Linked DNA regions of Drosophila melanogaster. The protein of the gene in region 3 purifies or fractionates together with the protein of the main gene of each other region. This does not show direct contact. Each region holds a gene or a part of one and is shown on either strand. Other genes may lie near its edges.

The links.
Region 1: the proteins of CCT6 (region 3) and Gale purify together in Drosophila melanogaster (affinity purification with mass spectrometry, with the first as the bait; one large-scale study listed by BioGRID). This does not show direct contact.
Region 2: the proteins of CCT6 (region 3) and spidey purify together in Drosophila melanogaster (affinity purification with mass spectrometry, with the first as the bait; one large-scale study listed by BioGRID). This does not show direct contact.
Region 4: the proteins of CCT6 (region 3) and Droj2 purify together in Drosophila melanogaster (affinity purification with mass spectrometry, with the first as the bait; one large-scale study listed by BioGRID). This does not show direct contact.

Annotation. Positions count from the first base shown.
Region 1 is NT_037436.4:646,600-652,075, forward strand, and holds Gale (UDP-galactose 4'-epimerase), read left to right. Parts: upstream 1-1,955; 5' UTR 1,956-2,452; intron 2,453-2,579; 5' UTR 2,580-2,580; coding exon 2,581-2,820; intron 2,821-3,633; coding exon 3,634-3,924; intron 3,925-3,984; coding exon 3,985-4,506; 3' UTR 4,507-4,712; downstream 4,713-5,476. UniProt on the Drosophila melanogaster protein: Catalyzes two distinct but analogous reactions: the reversible epimerization of UDP-glucose to UDP-galactose and the reversible epimerization of UDP-N-acetylglucosamine to UDP-N-acetylgalactosamine.
Region 2 is NC_004354.4:7,907,141-7,912,637, forward strand, and holds spidey (spidey), read left to right. Parts: upstream 1-1,790; 5' UTR 1,791-2,231; coding exon 2,232-2,397; intron 2,398-2,737; coding exon 2,738-2,784; intron 2,785-3,568; coding exon 3,569-3,644; intron 3,645-3,712; coding exon 3,713-4,053; intron 4,054-4,111; coding exon 4,112-4,447; 3' UTR 4,448-4,745; downstream 4,746-5,497. Other genes in the region: dpr14 (defective proboscis extension response 14), read right to left, coding at 117-198.
Region 3 is NC_004354.4:15,744,881-15,749,861, reverse strand, and holds CCT6 (chaperonin containing TCP1 subunit 6), read right to left. Parts: upstream 3,215-4,981; 5' UTR 3,092-3,214; coding exon 2,955-3,091; intron 2,555-2,954; coding exon 1,090-2,554; 3' UTR 891-1,089; downstream 1-890. Other genes in the region: Mvd (mevalonate diphosphate decarboxylase), read right to left, coding at 1-30, 427-497, 559-610; CG8944 (uncharacterized protein), read left to right, coding at 3,820-4,542, 4,693-4,981.
Region 4 is NT_033777.3:13,380,206-13,385,928, forward strand, and holds Droj2 (DnaJ-like-2), read left to right. Parts: upstream 1-1,900; 5' UTR 1,901-1,939; exon of another isoform or gene 1,940-1,998; 5' UTR 1,999-2,053; intron 2,054-2,616; exon of another isoform or gene 2,617-2,907; intron 2,908-3,059; exon of another isoform or gene 3,060-3,258; 5' UTR 3,259-3,273; coding exon 3,274-4,374; intron 4,375-4,464; coding exon 4,465-4,575; 3' UTR 4,576-5,078; downstream 5,079-5,723. Other genes in the region: CG8870 (uncharacterized protein), read left to right, coding at 1-7, 64-613, 691-1,138; mRpS21 (mitochondrial ribosomal protein S21), read right to left, coding at 1,182-1,298, 1,358-1,504; CG9799 (uncharacterized protein), read right to left, coding at 5,505-5,723.

The DNA.
Region 1 (5,476 bases), on a different chromosome or scaffold from region 3:
TCTGCCAGAAAACGTCACGAAATATGTATAAATTGCTTAATTTGTGATAAGCATTTATGGTGGCCCGGGCGATCCCAGTTTCCAAGTCGGTCTCCGTTGGGCCATGTGAAAAGTGCACCACTTTCACTATTTCCCTACTTCATTTTCCCATTGCCGATCCGAGATCAAATTAAAGTGCCAGAGTCGGTGCTTATCTGGGGTGGTCTCTTTTGAGGGAACGCAGAACATACATAGATGATTATCGGGCACAAACAATAATGCGGAAAATTGGTTTTATTAAGATGGATAACCGAAATTTACAATAAGTGTAAGCAAGGAAATTCTATTCGTTTGGCATTCTATTCGTGGAGTGGAAAGTGTTTGAAATAAAAGATCACATACTAATAAACATATAAGTACAGTAAGTAAACAAGAAGACGGACATAGCTAACGGGCCGGGCCAGACCCCCCGAAAACCTTAGCCCCAGCAATAACAGCAATCCAACTCTCGGACCGAACTGATAATTCCCCCATATGTGCAGGCGGGATTGGATTGGGAGCTCGCTTCTATACATATATATATATATATATTTATGTATGTAGACTAGACCGCAGCACATTATGTACAAATACGTAGCTTTAGGATCGACCACTTCCACTTGGAGACTTGTCCGTTCTGTCTTTCTCTTTCCAATTCTGTTTCAGTTCAGTTTCTGTGGCTGCGACTCTGACTGTGCAAATTATTGTCGCTCACATAAAAAAATATTGCAGGCCAGCGCCATTCAGAGGCGAGCAATGCCGGAAGTTCAACTAACTCATTTCCGGTTGTCAGTATGTACATATGTGTGCCGCCCGAGAATCTCAAAATATATGTAGATGTACGTATGTATGTAGTACATGCGGTGTGCGGTAAGCATGGTCTTGCGGTATATGTATGTACTGCGTCTTCCTTATCGAGTGAGCTTTCCCGCATTCGAGAATCGATTCGTTTCCAGATGATTATGTAGATTATTATGCCGAAGCAGTATTTTACGGTTTGTTCTAATTTTGGGACTCTTATGCCGCAATTTTTTTTAGCGATAAATTGAAATGGAATTCGGAAACCATAATCAGAAAAACGATTTATTGACTGAGATAGAACTATTCAAACAAATAACGATTATCGACACTCCAAAAACCATAAGATAAAGCCGGTCAAATGCCAATCTAGGTTAAAGCTCCGAAGCTTTCGACCCATTCATGCATTCCATTCATTCAGAACCGAAAGCAGGCGCATTTCATTGAGAGACTCGTCGCTGCGCAAATACATTCTCAATTAAGTTGTAAACATTGTGAGATCTTTTTCATTGCGTATTGAGCACATGCACTTCCGCTTATCATTAAAGATTTGAACCGAATTTGGGTCACCAAAAAGCTGTCCGAACTGCGGTTCTAGTTATTTATGACGATGTAGTTGTACGCATTGTACTGAAGTTTGTTGTTATCAAACGTTTGCTTTTCGAGTTTAAAATTAATTTTGAATCTGCTCCGTTTATCAGTCAAGTAAAATGTCAACTTATCTACATGTAAATTTTACAGAAGCACATGGCAGTGATGCCAGATCATATAAGATTATTATCTTGGGGATAGAATGCGTTACAAAATTACATTGCATTATGAATTTGGCGTTATTCTCTTATCATATGTTTAATTAATTACGATTTGTGATTTTATACGCTTTATAATGAAAACTATTTTTTTACCACCCCTATTCGCGTCTCCAGAATGTTTTCACATTTAAACACCGATATGGGCGCACTTCTTGTTTTAAGTTGTTCATATCGATAGACAGCCAAGAAATTTATCGAGACGAATCCCACTGTGCCAGGTAGCTGAAAAATCGGCGAATATGGCAGCGTCGAACGAGCCATGTCGCGTGGCAACGCTACCACTTTGTTTACTTTTATTCGGAGAGCGAAGTGAAGAGCACCTGGAAATTGCATTAATGGGCATGGAATCGGGAGCCAAAGGTCAGCGGCGATAAGGATGCACTTCGAGGTGACCCCGGCCGTCCGTCGACCAAGTCAGCCTGCTGCTAGCACTTGAATTAAAGTGACAGGAGAGCTCCGAGCCCACCAAACCACCGAAACTGATAAGAAGTGCGCGTTCGGAGAACGGAGAACAAGTTAAATAGGCTCCGTGGAGAGCCACCAGTTCAGTTGGCCAGCGACCGCAGATCAAAACAGACGTACGACAACACAGATGAATGAGGAAGAGTGCAAGAAACGGGTTAGCACACGATAGCACTCAACGGTCAGCGATCTTTGGCATCTTCATCTACACCATCATCTGCAATCTCGTCGGAGATCAGAGGCGTTGTTTTTAGGCATCGGAATCCGAGGCGGAATCGTTTCAAGGGCACGTCTCTTGCGTCTAGCTAAACTCAATCTGATTCACTGAGCGGGGATTCTCTACCATAATCACCTGTAAACAGGTGAGTTACCCGTTTTTCGCCAAGCAGACGGCTATTTCGCACGCCTGCCGAACGATTTTGGTGACGTCAATAAGAACTGGGCACTCGTGTGGCCTAATTTCGTGTGTTTTCCCCTTTCGCCACTTAGGATGGCCCCACCCACGGTCCTGGTCACCGGAGGAGCCGGCTACATTGGCTCCCACACGGTTCTGGAGATGCTCAATGCGGGCTACAACGTCATCTGCGTGGACAACCTGTGCAACGCCTACAGCAGCGGGGCCAAACTGCCGGAGGCCCTCAGCCGGGTGCAGGAAATCACCGGCAAGAAGGTCAACTTCTATAGAGTGGACATCACGGACAGGGAGCAGGTGCGCTCCGTCTTCCAGGAGGTGAGCACACGTAGCATTACATAGCTGGCACGTCAGCAGTTCGGAGGTTCTGGGGCAAATGTGCCAACTGGATACCATTCAATCAAGCTTATCTGGCATGCGCGCTATCAGCTTTTTTCTCGTTCGCGCTTGTTTTGTTGTTTGCTCAAGTGGCGGGGCACTTCCGACGAACCGCCGTGCTGATCGACCCTGAATGAAAGACCCACTTGGCGAGGTCGCATTCGAGTTGGTGCGCTGGCATCCACATCCACAACAGCTCCCGGGCACGTACACTACAATCTGGGTGGTCGGGAGCCCAGATTGCAGTGTTTACATCCATTGATAACCAAGAGAATTCGCTAATTCGAGCAGGTTATCACGCATTCTTGAGATGTTCGATCAAAGGGGTTTTTTTTGTTAACCACCGTCGTTTATAAAAAACAAAGCGTTTATTTACATGTAATGAACATTATAAAAATGCACGTTGTTGCCCAAATAGCCATGAAATATCTTAAGCTGATACTTTTTCATATTTTTATTCAACCATAAATGCACACAGCTTTGTGCTTACGCGCACTGATTACTGAATAGATTGAGCAGTATTTGTTGTGGTGGAATTTTTTACCTAATCAGCACTATCAACAGCTATTTAAAGAACACATAATTGTTTGTCAATAAATCACCTTGAAATCAATGTGATACTTTCATTTAATTGCTATTAAATTCTGCACTTTACGTTTATAAGAGGCAATATCCTTGTGCTTACTGAAGAGCTGGTTATTACAGATTTGGATTTCCCAAACTAATAGGTACATATATTTACATCCCTTTCAGCACAAAATCGACATGGTGGCCCACTTTGCCGCCCTGAAGGCCGTGGGTGAGTCCTGCCGCATACCTTTGCAGTACTACCACAACAACATGACCGGCACCAATGTCCTGCTGGAGGCGATGGCCGACAACAATGTCTTCAAGTTCGTGTACAGCTCCAGCGCCACCGTATACGGTGAGCCAAAGTTCCTGCCCGTGACCGAGGAGCATCCCACGGGCAACTGTACATCGCCCTACGGCAAGACTAAATATTTCACCGAGGAGATTCTCAAGGATCTGTGCAAGTCTGACAAGGTAGGAGGATGTCATTTCTTGATGTCCATAAGTTCTGTACTAAAGAATTCGCTCTTTCAGCGTTGGGCAGTGGTTTCGCTGCGGTACTTCAACCCGGTGGGTGCCCACATCAGTGGTCGGATTGGCGAGGATCCGAACGGCGAGCCCAACAACCTGATGCCCTACATCGCACAGGTGGCCGTGGGTCGACGTCCCAGCCTGAGTGTCTACGGCAGCGACTTTCCCACGCACGACGGCACCGGCGTGCGCGATTACATCCACATCGTGGACCTGGCCGAGGGACACGTAAAGGCGTTGGACAAGCTGCGCAACATCGCGGAGACGGGCTTTTTCGCCTACAATTTGGGCACCGGCGTGGGCTACTCGGTGCTGGACATGGTGAAGGCGTTTGAGAAGGCCTCCGGCAAGAAGGTCAACTACACTCTGGTGGACCGACGGTCCGGAGATGTGGCCACTTGCTATGCGGACGCCACGTTGGCGGATAAGAAGCTGGGCTGGAAGGCCGAGCGTGGCATCGACAAGATGTGCGAGGACACGTGGCGCTGGCAGAGCCAGAACCCAAACGGGTATGCCAACAAGTAGAGCTGTATATCGCCACGTTCCTGCCGCTCCGCAAGTTCCTGAGTTACTACGCCTGATAATGGCTCAGGTAGCAATTTCTATTTGCCTCTAGTTGTGTATATTTCTTTCCAAATTTCGTGTAGTATTCGCTCACTTCGATGTGTGCAAGTGTGCGTATGTAATCCAAAGTACTTTGTAATTAAAAAGGCTTTTCGCTGTTGTCATGTAATTTTGTGACCGTCATTTACGCGTTTGGTGACCGCTGGCATCATTGACGCGTGCCAATTGGCGCAATCACGTAATTAAGGTCACCGACAAGGTGGCACTGGGAGATTACACTTGGCATTAGGTAAAATAAACACACAACTGCATCAACCATTTGTCAGATCTTAATCAAAAATGGCATAATCACATTAAGCTGACCAAAGTTACAAGAAGACGTCTAACTCGCACATTTATTTAGCAAACATTTATTCAAATGCAATATAACATTAAAAACTCAATTTTAAACTTAAGTGATGCGCCTTCTTCGCACATATCTGCACAGTTAAAGTCATTTATCACAAGTATGTACTATGAATGTATGTTTCTTTCAACAACTCTGCGTTCGGCTGCTGCTTCTGTTTGGTTTTGGAATGGTCTGCACGTATAAAAGTACAAAATTGTTTATATTCGAGCCTGTTGTTTCTGGGAGTGTTTGTTTGTATCGGTATTTGGCAATCTGTTTTACACTTAGGAGCTTGGCGATTCGTTCAACAAGTGATGGAGAGGCAAAGAAATCGAATTCAACAAGAAGCATTACTAGGTGCTACATTTACGTCTGGCTACATGTGTGTGCGATATGCATACGTAATGAATTAATATGTATAATATGGTAGTTCTAAGTATTCGCATAGGTTGCAGGAGGCAAAGAGATCCGTAGCCCAGAGGGGCGGTGGAGGGGATAGTTTAAATGCCGCTTAAATACTGCTGTAGTCTGTGGAGACCCTGC
Region 2 (5,497 bases), 7.8 Mb from region 3:
TTTCACTTGGGTAATCCGCAAAGTAAACAAAAGAACTTAATCTTCAGCTTAAAAGTGCCAAAGTTTGAGTTGGGTAAAAGTTTGCAATGTGATTAAGGCATGAGGTGGAGACTCACATGTGGTCGACGTGGAACCCGAGCCGATGTGATGGAGTGAGGAGTATATAATCGCCAGTATCCAAAACAGCCTCGATCTCATCACTGCAGCGGAGTGTCTTCATATGCCGACTTACGGGATACGGTAACAGGATGCGGGATGATGCATCGACTGGCGCCACTCGCCGCAGGATATGCACATATGAACGAACGCCCCTCTAAACTGTTCTATATCGATCCAAGTCCAACTGCATCAGCGTCCCACTGCATCGCCAGCGATGATTCCACGGACTTCACTTCGCTTCGCTTATCGATTGCCCTGCGGCAAAATATTGCTGGACATATTGCACTCAAGTATCTTCTTTTTCAGAGTGTCCTTTTCGATTATATATGTATATTTACTTTTTCTTTTTCTCTTTTTTGTTGATTTCTTTGCACACTTTTCAGCGCGCGGATGGAGGCTGGAGGGATAGGAATGTCGGACAATTGGAAAATCGGAAAAGCGCTTATTAACCAGCTCGTGTTGCGTGTGTATTTATCCTTTTGCAACTGCTGCTCGGATGGCCAATAAACGGGAATGTAGGTCAGGGCATGCTCTGCGCATGGCCAGCATCCGCATCCCTATTATTTCATCCGAAGGAATCCCTCTACCCGAGCAACAACAACAAATAGCAGACGCCACTCACCTCTCAAGCTCAAAATAATGCAATCTTCAAGATTGTTTTAAAAAGAAAAAGACTTTTCTTTTCTTCTTTTGTTTGCATTTGTCCAGGAAAAAAGCTCTTTTCGGCGGATGGTTCTGATAAATATTTAACAATATAAAAGTTGCTTTTGCCGGTCCTTCGGCGTTGTTGTTCCCTCACCCACACTTGCTTCGGCACTGAATCCGCTCCGAAAGGCCAGCATCTCTCTCGGCATTCTTGCAATCCAGGGATTTCTACCCACCAAACAAGGTCCTTTGAATCCGTATAGCTCGGCATGCAAATAAATCGGGCGATTGAGCTCAGAAATACCTGTATTTTACTAATTGTTAAGAGCCTAGAGTAAAAATACAGATAAACTACCATTCTTTTACTGTCAAATTAAGCTTCAAATTCGAAATTCGATAAGTAACCGATATTTATCGATAGGCAAAGGATTACCCTCGCACATACGCGATCCGCTATAGCCATCTCGCTCCATCAATAATTTACCGTTAATATAGCGGGCTTTACTCAGAAACATCAAAAATATTTAACGACTTTAATTGTAGCATTCGCTGCGTTAAATTGTTTATCGCACTTTCTGCTTCCTGCGCATGTGCAGGAAATTAGTCAGACTATTTCGGTGATTGCCCCATTCTGGCGTGTATTGGTGAGAGCATAGAACTTACACTGCCCTCCTATGATATACATATGCATGCTTTTTTCGCTTTTAAATAAACTAATTAATAGACTAGTAAAAGAAGGATATACGGTAATGAACCTGTGAACCCTTAGGCGGAAAACTATTGCTGAATTTACATTTCATCCCTCTTTTAAAATCAGCTAGTGCAACATAACGGTTCTTGGTGTGATAAATTTTTGCGCTCACTGTTTGCAGCCGCCCTTATCTTTCGCTTTTTGGTGGTGTGCGTGAGCGCTATGAAATGACATAAGTGGGCACACAACACAGACACACACCCCTCTGAGGGGGGCACATGGATACGAAAAAGAACCGTTCATTTGCTTTTGTGCCGTTGACAATTGACATTCAATCGCTTTTTCCATTTGTTTTTATTTTCCCCCTTCTACCCTAAGTTTCTCCTTTCAAAGAAAACGCATTTGGAATACAAATCAGGCAAAAAACACGCGTACATAAATCGAGTAATCGAAAATCAGTGGCGATTTCGAAGGGTGTGTGTGTGTGTAGAATTACTACAACACACCACAAATACAGTTCGAAAAGGCAGCGCAGTCGGCAGAGGCGAAAAAAAAGCAGCGGCGTCAGCATTTCCATTTCGGCATTGCAGCTCGAAAATCGTAGAATCAGAAACTAATCAGCCGGCAGAGGCTATAGCAGTCGACCGATCGCAATCGCACCATATAGTACATACAATAGGTACCATTGCCTAGGAGTACCAGGAACCAGGAACCACTAATCTCCATCATCAACATCATGGAGGAGAACAACTCGCAAGTGCTGAGCCTGCTGGGCGGTCTGGCCATCGGAATCGTGGGCTTCCAGGTCTTCCGGAAGGTCCTGCCCTGGATTTACGCCAATGTTGTTGGCCCCAAGGTCTTTGGCTCCTCGGTGGATCTCTCCAAAATGGGCGAGTGGGCAGGTGAGTCGGTTGCCATGGAAAAACATGCCGGAAAGGAGCGGAAACGGGGTCGATTCCGAGTGCACAGTGAAAAAATGAATAGCAAGTTTGCTAAAGAAGTGTAGTTAAAAAGATTAAAGACCCTTTTACAATTAAATTGTGAAGAAAGGGAATTTCCAAATTGCAAACACTCTACTTTCAAGTTTTCCAATTTTGCATTAACTGCCTAAAGGAATACACTATATATCTTTCCAAAATGGAGTTCAGTACTTTTTTCACTGTGACCGATAAGATCGTTCCCCACGCCCCATAAATCCACTGATAACCCACAGAACTATTGGCTAACTTTTTCGACTTTCAGTTGTCACCGGGTCGACCGATGGAATTGGCAAGGCCTACGCCAAGGAGGTATGTACACAAAGATGACATGGAAGGGCTGCCCCAATCTTGACCAGCGCAAGCAAAGTCCGTCCAAGCTCGACCGATGATTATAGTAAAATGGGAAACGGGTCAAGCAAACAAACAAACAAAAAACGATAGTAATAATGAGCAATTAGTAATTACTAATTACCGAATTGAGTGTCGCCCACGATGACTTGGACATTGGTTTAGCGGTCGCCAATGCATTAGCCAAGTGAATCTGCACTTTGAAATCGATCTTCAGTCAACAGTCCAGTCGCAAACAGTCCCTAATAGTGTTTGCTTGACTGCAAATCGCTACATTTGTACTTTTCGTTATTTATTTTTACAAAGTGCAATCGCAGTTGATTTTTCTACCTTTTGTGGTAATTTTTTTTTTTTTTTGCCAGTTTTATTTTGTAATACACAGACTTGGAGCAAACGAAGCTAGAAGCTATAGGGAACACGTGTCCCCTGAATGGCAATTACTTTATAGAGTGGAGCACAGGGCCCCGATCGAAGCTTGTGCCAAATTAGCATTCGGCGTGCGTCGAACGCACAGAAAATGGTTCAATGTTCACACCCAATTTCTATTCATATACACGCTTAGTACACTTAAATGACTTCCTGTTCTTAAAATCTACGGGTTACTCGTCTTTGAAACTCCTGCTTTAGGTAGAAACGTTCAGTGTTCCCATTCCAAAGCACCATTGCTTTTTATCTCTGACCTAAGAATTTACTATCCAAAAGTACGTAAATATGAGCAGGCTAATAAATATTTAATCACTTTCAGTTGGCTCGCAGGGGCTTGAAACTGGTGCTGATTAGTAGATCCCTGGAGAAACTGAATGTGGTGGCCAAGGAGATAGGTAAGTCTGCTCACTAAAATACAGTTAACAACTTCAACTAACAACTGCTCTTTGCGGTCTACTTTCAGGCGATAAATACGGTGTGGAGGTGCGTGTGATCGATGTGGACTTCACCGGCGGTGACGAGATCTACGATAAGATCCGCGAAAAGACCACTGGCCTCAATGTCGGAGTGCTGGTCAACAACGTGGGCATCAGCTACGGCCATCCCGAGTACTTTCTGGACTGCTACAAAGCCGATCCCCCATTCCTGCGCAACATTGTGGCTGCCAATATCCACTCGGTGACGCACATGACCGCACTTTTTCTACCCGGCATGATTAGCCAGCGACGTGGTGTGATCATAAATGTATCGTCCACCGCCGGAGTCATTCCTAATCCGCTGCTGAGCGTGTACAGTTCCACCAAGGTGAGTGGATATCATCAGAAGTGATAGAAGGCTAATTACTAATACCTATAATTTGCAGGCCTTTGTGAACAAATTCAGTGATGACCTGCAGACGGAGTACAAGGAGCACGGCATCCTCATCCAGAGCGTCCAGCCGGGCTTTGTGGCCACAAATATGTCTAAGATCCGAAAGGCTAGCGTGTTTGCTCCCTCGCCGGAAACGTATGTCCGCTCGGCGCTGTCCACCCTGGGCATTGCCACCCAGACGGCGGGCTATCTGCCGCATGCTCTACTCCAGCTGGTCATCCACTTCACGGAGGCGGTGTTCGGCGAACAGTTCGCACGCAACATCGTTATGAAGAACATCCTGGGCACCCGGAAACGTGCCCTGCGCCGCCTGGCCAAGGAACAGTAGATTATTGAGGATGAATACGGCGGAGGAGGCATTTAATGGGAATCGGTTGGGATGATGAGTGGGTCAGTTGGGTTGTGGGGAAAATCCGGCTAGTCAAATAGCTTACGTAATTACCGCGTGTCATACGAATCCACAAACAGATAGCTTGAAATACCAAAAAAAAAAACATTTTTCCGAAATAAACTAAGTTTAGTTAGTTTTTGTCATTAATTAGCATTGAAGATTCGCAAACAGCCATGTCATGTAAACAATAAAAAATGTGTTACTAGATATATGTATATATCTAGTTTCCAATGATAAATAACGCCTTTTATTTGCAGTCCTTTATTTTGTATTTAACTTCTTATTTGTTCTTGCTAGCGATTTTTCTTTTTCCCTATGATTTTTCATGTTTTTCGGATCCAATTTGAATTTGAATTGGATGTGTCGATAACGGCAATAGCTATCGATTGGTCATCGATAGGCGCGCCCTTCGGCTAATCGGCGAGATGGGAATGACAGAAAGAGATACAACACTTCGCGCAGGGCGAAGAAGCAAAGCAAAGGGCAAAATTCATAAACATAACAGTAAAGATAGTGTATAGCCGGGCGTGAAATGTAATGAATCGGATTCATGACGTGACGTGTTATCAGGGCCAGCCCAATCCCAACTGCGCAGCAGCAGCGACAGCAACAACAATAACAACAACACATCAAGCTGAATCGAAGGAGCGTGTAATCAGTAATCAGAGTCGCTTGTTTTGATTTCCTTTCCTCGGAAACGAATCAACACGAAACGAGACGAGACGATTCGAAACGAAATGAAATCAAAACTCCGCTCCGGATAAAGCTGGTCAAACCAATCAACTTGTTGCGGATCCGCAGCGTCGCCCAGTATTGATTTGGCGCATATTGCCGACAGTTGTGGTTCCGATTTCGATTCCCAGCCAGCTGTCTCTCTGCCCATATATTTCAATATACGACGGACGCTTCTCCAAAAGCCGATACAATACTGTGCGATACCATATTTGTATTCGTTTCTCATTCGTTGACGGGCGAGGCGGTGGAGGC
Region 3 (4,981 bases):
CGATGCAGTCACTGTTGTCTTGGCGCAGAGCTTGGGAGATGGGATCAAGAAAGGTAATTGTTCAAGATTTTAAAAGTCTCGATAGATTGCTATTTCAAAAAATAAGTTAGAAATTACAGGATTTCGAACAACCCATATTCAAAAACCCATTTTTTTTAAGTTAGTAATTTCATTTTAATCTTAAGCAAATTCAGTGTCCACACAAATCGAAAGAGAGAGAATCGGTGAAAAGTGAAAATCCGTGAGATCTTCCCAAATTAAATAGAAAGTTTTCGTAATATTTACATTTGTGAGAAAATGAAAACTTCGACTACGCGCACTTTAAACTTAAACCATTATTAAAAGCGTCTAAGGTTTTTTAATTTTTTAATTACAATTTGTTGGTTTTAAAACGCAAATAAATATTTAAATATCTTTCATATTTACCTCATCGGTGCTCAGAGTCATGCTAATGGAATCATTGACGGGCAGAATTAGCTCTTCGTGCCGCTTTCCCCCTTTAAAGGAATGCATGTGCATAAGTTTATGTGCTTATAATATATGTATTAATTTACCCACAATATTTGATGAGCGCTATGTTTACGGGCGCCACACAAGTAACCGAAAACATGTTTGAAAATGTTTTTAATTCAGAAATTCACTTGTTTTCAGCTGCTTTCCAGCGAAAGCGACAACTGTTGACTGCGGTGTGACCACCCAGTGGACTCTTCAAATATACCATGTGGCCCCAAAAAATGTAGTTGTGGGTATTCCCCAATTACCGCCCATATTGAGGTTTGAGTCACGGCTAAATCGCTATTTCCATTTATTTTTAAACCAATGAAAGTTTGTAGTGAGTAAACATTAGTGTTAATAAAAATAGAAAATACATTAGCGTTAAGCATAGAGCTGTGTTTGGTTTTTGTATTTATTAGAATTGTATTTTAAATGTGAATACTTGCAGCCGCAACCATTCCGATTTCATGTGTTTCCAAATTATTTACGTGTTTAGTTTTCTTTTGGTTGTGTGTGGCTTTGAGAGACGCGGGTTGAGTAGCATGCGGTGCATTAACTTGGTTAAATTGAATGGGTCGGATGAAATGATGGGGACTAGCCCTTGAGGCTCGTCATGCCCGCACGCATCACCTCGTCGACGAGAAGCAGGTTGCTGGCAATGATCGAACAGGAGTTGAGGATCTGCTTCTTAACGATGTAGTTGTCGTAGACGCCCAGATCCACGGGCTTCATGGGCTCCCCGGTGGCCAGATCCAGGCCGACCAGTTCGGGACTCAGGCGATCCTCAACAGTCAGCTTGACGATTGTGTCCTGGGCATCGTAGCCGCTGTTCACGGCCAGCGTCTTGGGAATGACCAGCAGGGCATCGGCAAAGGCCTGCACTGCCAGGCGGGACTTGCCCTTGATGGTGTCCTTGAAGGCGACCAGCTCGTTGTACGCGCGCACCTCGAATGCTCCAGCTCCGGGCACCAGAGCCTTATCGGCAATGGTGTTGTTGATGGCACGCAGACCGTCCCTGATGGCGTCCTTGATCTGGGTGATCGTGTGCTTGTTGGGACCCTTGATCAGGATCGTGACGGACAGCGGGTTCTTGCAGTCCTCAACGAAAGTGTACTTGTTCTCGCCCAGAACATGCTCGTACACCACACCGGCGTATCCCAAGTGCTCCTCCTGCAGATCGTCAAAGGAGTTCATTGCAGTGCCACCGCAGGCCAAAGACAGACGCTCCATGTTGCGGCGCTTGGCGCGACGCAAGGCCAGGATGCCCTCCTTGGCCAGGGCGTCCAGCGAGATGGGGTCGATGCCCTTCTGGTTGATCAGGACGAAGGTTTTGTCGGTGCCATCGCACACGGAGCGCTTCAATTCGATCACCTTCTTCACACGCTGGTCGATGAATTCGCGCTCGGCGCGCACAAAGGCCTCACGCTCCTCGGCGGTCTTGTAGAAGAAGCCAGAGTTGACCTCGGCCTTCTCGTACTCCAGCGAGACATTGGCCGTAAGGATGTAGGCATTCTCCAAACGCTTCGGCATGTCCGGGTGGCGAGCACCATGGTCCATGACTAGTCCACGCACCAGCTGTGTATCGGTATCGGATTTGTGCTGCATCTCCATCAGCTCCACCATGTGGAGGTCCACGGGCTTGGTCTTATCGGCACTGGCAATGGTCAGCACGGCATTCACGCAGACGTCCGTAAGCAGATCGGCAAGGGCGGGATGCACCTTGGTCTTCAGACTTGTGTTGGCCACCTCCACCAGGTTCTTCTTGTTGATCTCCACGGGCACCTTGACCTGGTCGAGCACCTCCAATGCCTTGTCGCGTGCCTTCTCGAATCCATCGGTCATGATGCGAGGATGCAGTCCCTCGGACAGATAGATATCGGCCTGCTTCAGGAGCTCGCCAATAAGCATCACAGTGGTGGTGGTTCCATCGCCGGTGGAATCATCCTGGGCCGTGCTGGCCCTGGCAATCATAGAGGCAGTCGGATGTTGGATCTGCATTTCGTGCAGCAGGACATTGCCATCCTTGGTGATCTTGATGTCGCCGGCGCCAGAAACCAACCTGCGAAGTTTCTAGAATTAGTATGCTTGTTTCACTTTTCACGGCGCGTGAGTCAAGTCACGCCTCTTTCGATGCCACTTTCTGAATCACCCGGTGCTGGATATGCAGGTAAACACACATTTATGAATAAATTAAAGCCTCTGGGGGCATCTTTCATTTAAGATTCTTTTTGAAATTAAATAAAAACACCTAAATTCTAAGCTTTTTGCTCCAGAGTTGCAACATTCTCTTTCTTTCTTTTGCGATGACGCATGCCGCTAGTTCCAGTCTAACCTCAAACTTGCAGTTGCCGCAGCTGTGACCAAAACGTTTGTTTTTTCGCCTATAAACTAGCATTCTCACTCAAATTGCTAATGGAACGCAAAGTGAGGGATATTAGAGGCCGGTTTTAGTAACTTACATCTTAACGGTGCCCTTGGGTCCCAAATTGGTGCGCATCACATCCTGCAGTCCCTTGGCGGCACTGATATTGATGGCCAGAGCCTGGGCGGCGCGGGCAAACTCGGCCTTGGGGTTCAGCAAGCTAATCGAAGCCATCGCGTGTCGCAATTAAACAGAGATTTTCTTAGCTCGGCAAAATAAATCAATAGGAATCGGCACAAATCCAAGCACGCTTAAAGTTAGGCGAATCGAAGAAATCAGATGGCAAGTGTGACCAGATGGGGGAAAGACAACTAGAGACTTCAAAGCAGTACAATCGATAGTATTGTAATCACTTCCAATTTGTAACACTTTTATTTATTTCTAATTAGATTTTTCGTTGTGGTGGCTTACATGCAAAATGACATTTAAAAAATGTTTCATATATATATCTTTTTTTTTATTTAAATTTATTAAACGAAATTATTTTATTGACTAGCGTACCATTACCCTTCTTGGGCAACTTAATTTAATCGGTATCAATTTAAGCGATTCTTAATATCTAAGTTATTTACAAAGATTATATGATTATGAGTATTAAAGAAGGTCTTAAGGGTGGTAATATATTTCCCGCTAGTAATGGCTATTTCCCGCTAAATCACTGCAAAATAAGCCGCACAATTTAATCGGCTCACCTGCGACCACCGATGGCGATTAGCAAATGAAATGCAACCGTGCGCCCAAACCCCAACACTAAAAAGTTTTTTTTTATTGGCCAAATCGGGATAAAATCAAGTCAAAATAAGGCACAATACTAGAGTGCGCCGACCGCAGCGTAGAGTACCAAGAGACTTAATTGAATTCTGATTGTTAACCGGACAGGACGAGGATCCGCAGGCGGCGCGATGAGTGTCCTGGCGTATCCACGTACCAACGACGAGGAGATTTTCCGTCACTGCACCAAGGACTGCGGCATGGTGACGGCCACAGATGACTTCCAGTACTTCGCCCTGCGTTGCATCTTCTGCAGCGAGAAGTTTCTCTACTTCGACTCCTTCATCGGCCACATGCAGACAGTTCACCTGGGCGACCAGTCCGTGGCGAATACCTCCTCCCGTCTCCCCTTCAATCTCGGCGAGCCCATGTCCCTGTCCGGTCGTAATGGGGATCTGCCCAACTTCCACGAGATCGAAGACTTAACGGACGCGGACACAGCGCTGCTGGAGCCCCAAATGGTCATCAAACAAGAGCTCCAGGATCTGCCCTGCAGCGATGATGATGTGGTCGCCGGCGAAGAAGACGACGATGAGCAACGGCTGAACGATTCCGAGGCCGATGAGGACGAGGCCATATTACCCGAAAGCGATGTACCGGTGGTCAGTTCCAAGACGCGGGCACGCAAAAAGGTCACAAAGCAGCGCCAGAGGGACATGTCTAGCGAGCTTCTCATCGCCGGTGACGGCGATTCATCCATGGACGACTACGGTGATCCGGATCACAGCTATATGGACGACAATTCCGGAGAGTACATGGACTTTGCTGGATTCGACGGCGTTAACCACAGTGGTTTCGGAACCGAATCGGACTTTCTCAGCTATGATGAGATGGTGGAGGAGTCCCTGCTGGGAGTAAGTTATATTTTTATACTATATACATACAGATATTTTTGTTAAAATTTTCGCCCATCGATTTAAAAGCTACATTTATTTCACCCTTAATTTTCACTAATATCCATATATACCTATTTGTAATGATTTTATCATTTTCCCACCCCTTAGCGCGACCGGGAGGTTACGATGCACATCAAGGACCGCAAGATGATCCAGTTTCTCATCCACTCGTATCAGCGCAACCCCTTTTTGTGGGACCACGGCAATGCACAGTTCCGGGATCGCGTTAAGCGCGCCCGCTTCCTCGACTGGATTGTGCTGGAGTTCAAGAGCCGGTTTAACATCTCGCTGGCCAAGGACGCCATCACCCGTAAGTGGGACAACCTGCGCACGGTATACAAGCGGGAGTGCAATCGCATGGCTCTGGAGAAGACCAACATCAGTACGCTGTGGTACT
Region 4 (5,723 bases), on a different chromosome or scaffold from region 3:
GGTGCAGGTAACTTTCAGCATGCATAAACTTTGTACGCAATTTAAAATCTATCCTTCCTTCAGGGTGTCAATTTGATACGGAATGCGTGAATCTGGATAAGTGTCCCAGGACCAGAGCAGTTATGAACTCATCCAGGAAAAATATAATAGGTCTTAGAAGATGCGGCACTAATAAAGTGTGCTGCCCCAAGTGGGAAACGTATCTGCCACACGATACTTGTGGACAATCAAGAAGAAAACCTACGAAGGGCAAAATACCGGCGCTGAATGAGTTTCCCTGGATGGCCATGCTGTTATATGGAAATAAAAACAATTTGTCCCAGAAGCTGGTACCAAAATGTGGTGGATCCCTAATAAACAACTGGTACGTCCTGACCGCAGCGCACTGCGTGGAGTATCCATTTATGGACTATCCGTATGCCCTCAAAACAGTGAGACTGGGCGAACATAACACGTCCACAAATCCCGATCGGGCTATTGTGAATGGAAGAAGACAGTACGCTCCTCTTTATATGGAAATTGAAGTGGACCAAATTATTACGCATGAACAATTCAACCGGGGAAGGCGGCTGATAAACGACATAGCACTCGTGCGTCTTAAGTTTCCTGTGCGGTGAGTAATGATTCTCCTCTGGTCGAAATAGAAGTAGGATATGAATTGAAATAATATATCTTTATATCTTCCTATAGCTATACGAGAGCCATCCAACCTATTTGCCTTCCAAGAGCCCAAAAATTGGCCGCGCATAAGCGAAAGTTTCAAGCATCCGGCTGGCCAGACATGGGACAAGGAATTGCAAGTGAGGTACTCTTGCGCAGCTTCATCGCGGAACGGCATCCAGATGTGTGCAAATCAAATTATGACTTTAATTTGGGCAGTCAGATATGTGCTGGTGGTCTGGATGGGAATGACACCAGTCCCGGCGATTCCGGGGGACCCTTAATGGAGACCGTGATACGTGGAAAGGTCACACTCACTTATGCAGCCGGCATAATCTCCTACGGACAGAAGCCCTGCGTACTTAAAACTTGCAAGCCAGCATTTTACACAAAAACTTCATACTTTTTTGAATGGATAAAATCGAAATTGCAAAGTCCATTTATCGACAGCGACAGCAAATCTCGTACTAGAAAATAAGCAATTTATTTAATTCCTACATTTTATTGCCTCAAAAACTAGTTTAACTGCATCCAGGAAAAGGTTCGGCGCGATTTTTGCGCAGTACGAACTGAATTTTTCGGTTCATGTCCTCGTTGTAAATGGCCTTGCATTTCTCGAAGTTGATGCGACGACGAACCTATACAATAGTTTAATACAGTAAATAATAATAAATAGTTAAGTTATTTAAAGTCGAACCTGATACGGCTTTTCGTAGAATCGCGTGCGGCGAAATTGGTCGAGCAGTTCTTCTTTTCCCAAGACGCGATTTAACAGACGACACGCCTCCTCCACATTATTGTTTTGCACCAGAACGGTGCGGGCCAGAAACTGCACGTGTCTCATTTCGGATAAGTAGTTTTATTTTATAAAGTTTTCCAAATGTTTATTAAATAATCGGCTTTCAAAACAGTGTGACCATTTACTGTACTGCTAAACAGCTGATGAATATCACTAACCAGGGCTAACGATTGCTAATAAGAATCGTGGACTCAGAAGGAGTACTTTGAGAACCACTCAACTTAATAAATAAGAAAAATATTTATTCAACACAGTATTTATTAATGCATTGCCAAAATTATTTCTGTAATGCCCATCACACTTAAGAAATACATATTATATCCCATCAAATTATCAAAAATTGCTAATCACCTGAAAATGACTAAAATACCAGTTTTCGGACCTTTGCGGTGCGAGGCAACCCTGATGTTGTGGTTTTTCTTGCCGTTTGCCGCTCTGGTCACACTGGTTTCCAGTTTTCTTCCTAGCGTGGCGGCCATAGTAAGCTGTTGAAAAGTATTCGACGTAAATTAAATTTGTTGTAAAAGTGAAACTTCCAGGAATCGGGCTGCGAAAGTTACTATTTGCTTTAGGCACGACACGACACGAAAAAAGGTGAGCTGGGGCGGCTCTGGGCTAATTAAGATTACCACCTGATTTTGCACATTTCGTCTCGCATTGTGCGGTTTGCCAATGTGTGTGTCTACTTGGTAGACACTTCCTTTGCGCTTGGTTTTCTCATCTCTGTCGTTAAGTAATCATCGATAATTGTTTTTTGTCAGAGAATTTGCCTTCGATTTTTGGCATTAGATTTGCAAAATCGATGGCCATCTAGCTTTTTTTCTCTTCTTTGTTCAATCGAATTCTTCTGACGCAGCGTCTTGCGCGGCACATGTTGGTACGCATACAAGCGCAAAGTCTGGTGCATGTGTGTGCTAGGCACTGGTGAAAATATAATAATTGTATCTATTGATTTGCCTGCTAAATCGAAGGCTGCTTCTAGAATTCATTTCCATTCTTATTTTCGACTCTGCCCTTTCTCCTTTCATTTGTTCCCCTTTTCGTTCTTTTACGGTTTTTTCATTATTACCCTCTCCGCTTTGCAGTCGCCGTTCGCAAAACCAGGGCTGCAATGCGCTGACGAAAACTTCTAGAAACTGTGTGTATGTGTGCGTGCGAAAGAGAAGCGGTTGTTGTCGAAAGGGGGAAAGAGAGCGTCAGCTGCTCGCCGTATTGAAATACGACAATTGTTCTAGAAAATCGACTAGAAAACGTCGCAGTTATTTTCGCGAACACATGGCGGCGTAACGACCTTGAATCCCGGGCTCTAGCTTCCGGCAATGCCTACTATTTTCCGTTGCCCCCCAAATTACACGGAAAAAAATGGGTGATGGCATCAAGTCACAGCTGTAGAAATCAATAAACAAGAAAGGGTCATATGATCGAGTGGTTTCTGGATTTTGAAAAATGTATTTCTACAAAAAAAAATGGGTAACAAAATATAGGTTACTGATTTTTGTTTACAATACTAGTTAGAGAGGAATCAGCCCTTTGAACTATGAAATGTCATTAGATATAAAACTGACAATAACTTCCATCGGGAACCTAGCTGCCATAGAAACAGCACCACAAAATAAATTTTTTTTTTTCATTTTTTATAAGAACTGGCATCCAAATCGGTTGAAACTTCAAAAATTTTCGGTATTACACAACTTCATAATTTCTACCTATATATGCCTGGAGCATACACAAATCTGTTCCCCAATCTGTTATTTACAAGCTCCCAGATAGTAATTACGCACTACTTCGTCTGTTCACAGTAAACAGCAAACAAAATGGTTAAGGAGACTGGATATTATGATATACTTGGCGTGAAGCCTAATGCCACGCCCGACGAGCTGAAGAAGGCTTACCGCAAGCTGGCCCTCAAGTACCATCCGGACAAGAACCCCAACGAGGGCGAGAAATTCAAGGCCATTTCGCAGGCTTACGAAGTGCTGTCCGATGCGGACAAGCGACAGGTGTACGACGAAGGCGGCGAGGCGGCCATCAAGAAGGGCGGCGCAGATTCCGGTGACTTCCGCAATCCTATGGACTTCTTTGAGAAGTTCTTTGGCGCTGGATTCGGAGGTAGTGGCGGTGGACGCAGGCGCGAGAGGCGTGGCAAGGACGTGGTGCACCAGATGTCCGTACAGCTGGAGGAGCTGTACAATGGAGCGACCCGCAAGCTGCAGCTCCAGAAGAATGTGATCTGCGACAAGTGCGAGGGTCGCGGCGGCAAGAAGGGCAGCATTGAGAAGTGCTTGCAGTGCCGTGGTAACGGTGTGGAGACACGGGTTCAGCAGATCGCCCCCGGCATCATGCAGCACATCGAGCAGGTGTGCCGCAAGTGTTCGGGAACTGGCGAGACCATTCAGGAGAAGGACCGCTGCAAGAACTGCAGTGGCCGCAAAACGGTGCGGGAACGCAAGGTATTGGAAGTGCACATTGAGAAGGGAATGCGGGATGGCCAGAAGATCGTGTTCACGGGAGAGGGCGATCATGAGCCGGAATCTCAGCCGGGCGATATTATTATTCTTTTGGACGAGAAGGAGCACTCCACATTCGCGCACGCCGGACAGGATTTAATGATGAAGATGCCGTTGCAACTTGTCGAAGCGCTCTGCGGATTCCAGCGAATCGTTAAAACGCTCGATGATCGCGATCTGATTGTGTCCACACAGCCCGGCGAGGTTATCAGGCATGAGATGACCAAGTGTATTGCCGAGGAGGGTATGCCCATTTTCAAGAACCCCATGGAGAAGGGCACGTTGATCATCCAGTTCGAGGTGATCTTCCCGGAGGTGATCAATCCGTCGGTGGTGCCCACGCTTAAACAGTGCCTACCCCCGGCGCCGGAGGTTGACATTCCAATCGATGCAGAGCAGACGGTTTTGGTGAGTATTTCAGTAGTAGTTTATATCACGATATATAAATAATATATTATTTATAATTAATTTATTTATCGATTTGCTTATCTTTCGCAGGAGGACTTTGATCCCAAGCAACGTCGCCAGCAACACCAGCGCATGGCCTACGATGAGGACGATGGCGGCTATCAGGATGGCCCACGCGTCCAGCAGTGCACATCGAGTTAAGCGCCCCCGCTGCGTGTTGCATCCCCGGACACACAGCCCTAATAATACCCCAACCAACAAGCCGTAATAATATGTAAACCAGCTCCCGGAACACTGTAATTGCGCTTGCAAGTGCCGAAGAACTCCCAAAAGCACCTTAAAACACCATCCAATTCACACTAGGAGGCCCAACCAATCGAGAGATCTAAAGTTATTTCATGCAAGCTACGATATTTAGGTATAAATCAAAGAAACTTATCAGATATATGCACTATGTCTATAACGCGTGGTTGTTTGTAAACCAACATTTTTCTTTATGTTTATGTTGCGTTGGATTGTCAAAGAATCGAAAACGGAAACTGAAACTAAACTAAACTGAAATTGAAATTAGCCGCCACTAGAACCGTATCTAAAGTCCGCGCCAGCGAACACGTCTAGGAACAAGTTTAAGTTATTTAATTCCAGCATAAATAAAAGCGTTAGTTTAAACGGATATAACAAATAAATAATTAATACACAATTTCAACCCAAATGCTGTATATTCTTCTTCCCATAGTTCCAGTATCACTTGCCTTCCTCCGGCTATCTATTGATTCCATAATCGCTGCATAGTCACCCGCAGGTGTGAATCATTCGAATAATGCCAATTGGAGATATCAGGCATATGGCAGTAGTTTCGTCTTGAGTACATTATTTAAAATGCTATCTGGGATAAGTAAAAGATAAAAAGAAAGATAAGGATAGTTTGGGATATATATGGTAATGCCATTAAATCGTTAAGGATATAATGAGGGATTTTGTAGTTGTTGAGGATTATAAAGCATCCTATAAATGAATCTGCGGACCTGCCTGTCGCAAGGAATAACATCAAAAGCAAATTCAAAATGTAAAATGTTTTGTAAATTTATTTACAAAATTTCAAAATGAACTACAACATAATCTGGTGGAAACTAGTGCGCAAAGTTTCGGAGAGCGGCCACAACTCCAGTTCCATAGATGAGCTTCTCCTCCACACGCTGCCAAGCCTCCTGCTGCACCTGGGACACAGTGCGCAGCTCCTTTACCAAATCCGGGAACTCCGTCAACCCGAGACCGTGGGATCGCAAGAAGACGCTTAGATACGATTGAGCCAGCTCAAAGTTCAGATTGGTTCCAAACATGAACTTAAC